Macaca mulatta: one gene and its partner. The protein of the gene in region 2 purifies or fractionates together with the protein of the main gene of each other region. This does not show direct contact. Links are inferred from orthologs where the notes say so. Each region holds a gene or a part of one and is shown on either strand. Other genes may lie near its edges.

Region 1 (3,824 bases), on a different chromosome or scaffold from region 2:
TCGCTCTGTCACCCAGGCTGGAGTGCAGTAGCACCATCTTGGCTCACTGCAACCCCCACCTCCCCGGTTCAAGTGATTCTTGTGCATCAGTCTCCCAAGGAGCTGGGATTACAGGCATGCACCACCACGTCTGGCTAGTTTTTTGTATTTTTAGTAGAGATGGGGTTTCGCCATGCTGGCCAGGCTGGTCTCAAACTCCTGAGCTCAGGCAATCCGCCCGCCTCCACCTCCCAAAGTGCTGGGATTAAAGGCGTGAGTCACCACGCCCAGCCGATATGTTCATTTCCATAAACATATTTTTTTTAAGTCTCCATTTCGTCCACATAAATGGTCCAACTTTTAAGGACTAGTTCCCTCTTACTTTAATACTTACTTTCTACTGTTGCTCCTTCGTTTGGATTTGAATATCCCTCTCCTTTCCGTTTGGTTCTCCGGATAATGCCTCCATCTTCAAATAAGTCCTCTCCTTTGAAATCAAGGAGCTCAATCTAGAAAGAAAAAAGGAATTCAGATGAGAAAAGACCAAATAAAGCCAATTTAACATATGTGAAGGCAAGGGCAACCAATTATTTCATTTTACAAAATAAAGCTGTTTCAAAATGTATACATTCATTTATGCATCTTAATTATTGGAAAAGTAGCAAAAAAAAAAAAAAAAAAACCCACTATACTTTTCCATACTTGGAAAGAATTTCACATAATGATAATGTCTAGGACTATATCCTAAGGGACTGCGGTGCAGAGACAGGAAATACTAGGAACACTACCCTGTGGGCAAAAACCCAGAGCTTTACAAGGTGCTGGTGTAGAACAGTTTGTCTGAGGCCACAACTTTCCCACCCTGGATTTATGGAGTTCCCTTCTCAAAATGTAAACATAAATTTCATGAATGTGGCCTATGACTGATTAAAGGTATATTTTACCTAGCTGGGGTAGTTCTTAAAAATCAAGTTTTGCCAAATATATGTAATTTCAACACAGGTTGAATAATGTTTTATCACCATCAAACACTTCTAGAGAAGTGAGATCTGTGACATATAAACCTTTATAATATGAAAATACCCTGCAACTTGACATAGGCATATTTCAACATTTATTGCCAACATTTCCATCCTGCATTCTGGTCAATTTTGAGTATGTCACACTCACACCATGGACCAGATTCTTTATTTCTAAGTGTAGTGTCTTTTGCGTATTTGGATATGACCTTTTTGTGGTGGAAATACGTTTCTCAAAAAGCACTGGCACGTGCACCCTTGGGTTTGTGGGAAACAATCCAAGAAGCCATGCTCCAAAATAAGTAAGTTGGATGTGATTCTCTATAGCTCCTTTTCCCACTGCCTGTTGCTTCAAAGCCATTCCTATTGTAGAGCAGATGCTGACAAGGCAACATCACACACATACTTGCCTCAAAAAAGAGAGTTGCATTCGAGGGAATTTTAGGGAGACTGCCAGCTGAGCCATATGCATATTCTGGTTTGCACAGTAAATGGCATATCTCTCCTTTCTTCATGGTAGCCACCCCAATGTCCCATGCCTTGATAACTTGGCCTAAGAGAAAGGAAAAGGTAGTTGAAAGCTATCAGCCCTATTTAAAAATATTTAACTTTCATTAAACAAAAGTTCAAATTTCCAGTTTTTCATACTACATATTCAGCTAGAAAGTATGGGCTACAAGATGACCGAGTGCTACATACAAATAAATAAATATTTATTTATTTCAAGGCTATCATAAAAGATTCCCTGTTGATCGGCCCAGCACTTTGGGAGGCTGATGTGGGAGGATCGCTTGAGTCCAGGAGTTTGAGACCAGCCTGGGCAACATAGCAAGACCTCATCTCTTAAAAAAAAACAACAAAAAAAACCCCCAAGGAACACAGCTGGGTATAGTGGTGCACACCTATAGTCCCAGCTACTCCAGAGGCTGTGGTGGGAGGACTGCTTAAGCCCGGGAGCCCAGGAGGTTGAGGCTTCAGTGAGTCAAGATTATGCCACTGCACTCTAGGCTGGGTGACAGTGAGACCTGTCTCAAAAAGGATTCCCTGCTGAAAGGGATGAAAGTAGTATAAATTCCTAAACTACTCAAAAATTAAGTCTTTGAAAACTGGTGGTAACATTATCCATGAAATATGGCTGTGTTGCAACTGTTGCTTAATTTATCATTTCAACTATAATAAGCACACATTTTCTAGGCAAAGATAGAACAAAAATAGTATTGAAAAATAGAGTTTGTCCTAAGGAAGCTTGTAATTTAGTTGGGTAGACAAAAACAAAACAAAACAAAACAAGAAGTAACCAGAACAATATAAATTGCATAAAAGGGTCTATGAAACACATTTCTTCTCGAAATTTAGAATCAGAAAAAGGTTTCTTTAAACAAAAACGTATGTGTCTTTTTGTCAAACCACAACTACAGAACTTAAAATGTTTTATTTTTTGCCTACTTCCAGGAAACTAAGTTAAATTTACTGCTCAATTGTAGGACTATATTAGGCTATATAATTGTAATCTCAATGTTTACAGTTCCTATGATGTGCATCATTATCTTACTGTAAGCAGTATCAAGTCCTTTGGGAAACAATAGAAAATTCAGGCAATTTAAAAGGCTAATTACATTTTGGTGGGGCATAGTGGCTCACGCCTGTAATCCTGGCACTTTAGGAGGCCAAGGCGGGTGGATCACTTGAGGCCAGGAGTTCAAGACCAGCCTGGCCAACATGGTGAAACCCCGTCTCTACTAAAAATACAAAAATTAGCCAGGCATGGTGGTATGTGCCTGTAATCCCAACTACTTGGGAGGCTGAGGGAGGAGAATCACTTGAACCTGGAAGGCAGAGGTTGCAGTGAGTAGAGATCATGCCACTGCACTCCAGCCTGGGCAACACGGCAAGACACTGTCCCAAAAAAAAAAAAAAAAAAAAAAAAAAGGCTACATTACAAATGAGGTACTTTGTTAATCAAAAACATTAAGTATCTGGGGGTTGGGCACGTTGGCTCACGCCTGTAATCCCAGCACTTTGGGAGGCCAAGGTGGGCAGATCTCTTGAGCTCAGGAGTTTGAGACCAGCCCAGGCAACATGGTGAAACCCCATCTCCACAAAAAAATATTGAAAAAATGAGCCAGGCGTGGTGGTGCTTGCCAGCTACTCAGGAGGCTGAAGAGGGAGGATTGCTTGAGCCCAGGAGGTCGAGGTTTCAGTGAGCTGAGATCATGCCACTGCACTCCAGCCTGGGCAGCAGAGTGAGACCCTGTCCTGTCTCAAAAAACAAAAACAAAAATGTAAGTATTCAAAGTGGGATCAGATAAGAGATGAACCCCAGAGGAAGTGAATTTGAAGTGAGCTGGTGGTAGGATATTAGGACAAGTGAAACCCTACATAACCGTATGTAAGCAGGGATGGATAAACCATTTGTCATTCATGATTTTAGCTTAATCTTCATTAAATATTACAACTTTTCCAAATGTAAGCTACATTTATTTCAGTTAAAAATATATGTTAAGTGGCCAGGAACAGTGGCTCATACCTGTAATCTCAGCATTTTGGGAGGCCAAGTGGGAGCATCCACTTGAGCCCAAGAGTTTTAAGACCGGCCAGGGCAACACAGTGAAACTCCTTCTCTACAAAAATTTAAAAAATTAGTGCAGCATGGTGGCACATGCTTGTAGTTCCAGATACTTTGGAGGTTAAGACAGGAGAATAGCTTGAGCCCACGAGTAAGAGGCTACAGTGAGCAATGATTATGTCACTGCACTCCAGCCTAGGTGACACAGCGAGACCCTGTCTCTTACAAAAAAAAAAAAAAAATTATTCAAGTAATACATG
Region 2 (3,195 bases):
TTCCCCTCACATCATATAATCTTTATCTTCTACTTCTGAGTCCCAGTACCAGGTAAAAATGACCCAGTTTAGAAGTGTTTTAGTAAAATGTCTCTACTCATTGCATTGCACAAGTTAAAAATATTACAATAAGTCAGTTATAATTCCTTTGACTGTAAATGTACCTCAGTGTATGACTTTTATGTGTGAAGGTCATTACAAACAAGAAGTTTTACTGGGGGGAGTAGTAGGAAAGCATTACTTATTTTTTAAAAAGTTTTTACTGATTTGGTGTGGGAGCAAGTACACTGTTAATAGTTGGAATTTATGTGGTAGGTATGGGATATATATGGATTTATAGAAAATTTTGACATTTCTGCAGTGGAGTTCTGTTTTGGACAAAGTGTTTTATCAGTAACAAATTTGAATAAATGAAATACTATCAATGGAGGGCAAAGCACAAGCACTAATCTTATCTGAATAAGATTAGTTACTAACAGTACTGAGACAACAGGTACTAGATTTGTGGCTTTGCTATGTGTCGTAGAAAAAGCATTGGAGACTAAAGGAGTTTTTAGTAACTTTATTTTCTAAAACTCCATCCCACAAATATGTTTTCTTCGACATCTCCACTTCCTTTAAAAACAAACAGAAACAGACACAAGCTTATCTTGACGCAGGTTTTCAGTCAGCCGAATTCAGCTTTCAAAGAGGTGAGATCCACCAAAAGCAGCCGCGCGCTCGGCCTCTGCGCCGCGCTGGGTCTCCAGCAGCGCCGGATGACGTCCCCAAGGCGCTGCCCGGGGAGCGAGTCCTGGAAGACGGCAGCGGAGAGGGACGGGCGCAGGTCGTAGGCCACCACTGCGTACAGTATGTGCTGCCGCTCCCCCGAATAGGGCGCCTGCTTGGTAGTCATTTGCCAGAGAGTGATGGCAAAGGAATAAATGTCGGCTTTGGGCGTCACTCCCTCTCCTTTCAGGAGTTCCGGGGCGCGGTGGGTGTATGTGCCTCCAAGGGGGTAAAGGGGTGTCTGGAAGCACAGCAGATCTTCCAACTTCTCAGAGCAACCGAAGTCACTAATTTTACAGACATCCTGCTCACTGATCAAGATGTTCGCGGGCTTCAGGTCCAAGTGCACAATGCTTTGCGAGTGGAGGAAGAGCAGGCCGTTCACAACATCTAGGGAGTACTTGAGACACTTTCCCAAAGTTAACGGTCCTCCAGTGCTGCAGTGAGGCTCCCCCGCGTCCCCCTCAGGGTGGCCGGCGGCGCCGTAGATGACTTGGTGTAAAGTGACGTTGCCACCGAACTCCATGATGATGGTCCCTAGGCTGTTGGACCCCGCGGGCGTGCGCGTGCTGGCAGCCACCACGCGCACGATGTTATCGTGGCGCAGCCTTGCTACGTTGAGCTCAGCCCAGAAACTCCGCCGAGATGCTAGTCGGTTCTTAGTGCACTTGTTCACTTGCTTTATGGCCACAGGAACACCGTGGTAAGTCGCCTTGTACACCGAGCCAAACCCTCCGGCTCCCAGCCTCTGCAGCAAGCACACCTGCTCCCAGTCAATGGAGCACCAAGCCAGCCGGCGCGGCAGCCGCGGGGCCCGAGGAGGAGTGGCCCCCAGAAGCAGCTTCGCAGGGAGCTCTGAGGGACTGCTGCAGGGCCGGGCGTCCACCGACGGGGAAAACTCGCTGGGGAGGTAGGGGCGTAGGGCCAGGGGCGAGGGCATCGCACTTTGCAGGGGGACACCAGGGCCGCTGGGGTGAATGAAAAGACCAGGGGAAACCGCGGGACTTTGGAAACATGACTGACTACTCCTTGGCTCCACCCCTATCCCTTTTCTCCTTTTCCTTCATTTGTTTCAAATGAGCTACATCTGTGCTGTCACTCAGCAAGAGTTTTTATCAGATGGAGGGAGAAACCGGAATGAAGCACAGCAGTCCCTTTCAGATGAAAGCATTTCCCTTCCACACTTGAAGTGAATTCTTATAAAAACAAGCTCATGCCAGATAAACAGCATGGAGCTGCCCCAGAACTCACCCCTCTTTTACATTATTTGTTTAACTATAATGAAATACTTTTTTTCAAGTCACATCCGCTGCACATTATCAGTCCTCAGACTAAAGAGACCACAAAGCACAATGAAATTGTTTCACACTTTGCAGGCTATAATGATTGTTAGTGTCATTCTCCAGCTGCATTAAATCACTTCCAGCAGTTATTGGCTGAGAGTTGAAATGCAAACAGCAGACATTTGTTTAATCAATTACAGGGAAAAACTAGGTGCAGCATTCATATGGATAAAAAATTGCAACGTTAATGAATCCAAATAGAATCACTGATACAGGTCATAACACACACCTAAATTCATCAGTGGAAAGGAGAATCCCCTGACAGTCTATGCAACTTACACAGCAAATTAGCAAGACGTCTTAGCAACATACTGACTTTGTAACAATCCTTCCCTTTCAAGGCGATTTGGCCCACCCGGTCAGCTCACTTGCAAGAGAGATTCTAGGCTTTGCAGTGAACGAGTTACAGAAGTTTTGAATCAGAGTTGGAGGAGAAAAAAGAACAGAATGATTCAGAGCTGTGATCAGGGCTTCAAATAATAACACATATGGGAGAATTGTAGAAGAGGAAAAATCTGAAGAAATAAAAATGGCACAAAATCACTAGTACCTACATATAATGTAGAAAACCAGAAGTTGGAATGAAATTCAGGGTATTGGCCATCAAACAACAAGTTCTTCCTTTCTGATTTTTATAATGAAAATTAATTTTCTACCAAGTGCAGTGAGTCATGCCTATAATCCCAGTGCTTTAGGAGGCTGAGGTGGAAGGACCACTTGAGGCCAAGAATTTGAGACCTGCCTCTACAAAAAATAATAATAAAGTTAGCTGAGTGTGGTGGCGCACTCCTGTAGTCCTAGCTACTTTGGAGGCTGGGGCGGGAGGAGACTTGAACTGAGGAGTTTGAAGCTGCAGTGAGCTATGATCGTGCCACTGCACACCCGGCTGGATGATAGAGCAAGACTCTGACTCTAAGCAAAAAATTATTTTTCATACCATATCTTTGGAAAAAGGACCAATAATACCATATTCATGAGAAACACGCGCGCACACACACACACACACGTTAGGATATTTTAAAAAAATCAAATGGTAGCCTGGCACGGTGGCTCACGCCTGTAATCCCAGCATTTTGGGAGGCCG

The links.
Region 1: the proteins of MOS (region 2) and FKBP5 purify together in Homo sapiens (affinity purification with mass spectrometry; 3 studies listed by BioGRID and IntAct, counting the BioPlex papers as one, with this or other methods). This does not show direct contact. The link is inferred for Macaca mulatta from reciprocal best matches to the Homo sapiens genes MOS and FKBP5.

Annotation. Positions count from the first base shown.
Region 1 is NC_133409.1:146,649,497-146,653,320, reverse strand, and holds part of FKBP5 (peptidyl-prolyl cis-trans isomerase FKBP5), read right to left. Parts: intron 1,552-3,824; coding exon 1,409-1,551; intron 489-1,408; coding exon 374-488; intron 1-373. UniProt on the Homo sapiens protein: Immunophilin protein with PPIase and co-chaperone activities. Component of unligated steroid receptors heterocomplexes through interaction with heat-shock protein 90 (HSP90).
Region 2 is NC_133413.1:66,759,095-66,762,289, forward strand, and holds MOS (proto-oncogene serine/threonine-protein kinase mos), read right to left. Parts: upstream 1,709-3,195; coding exon 668-1,708; downstream 1-667.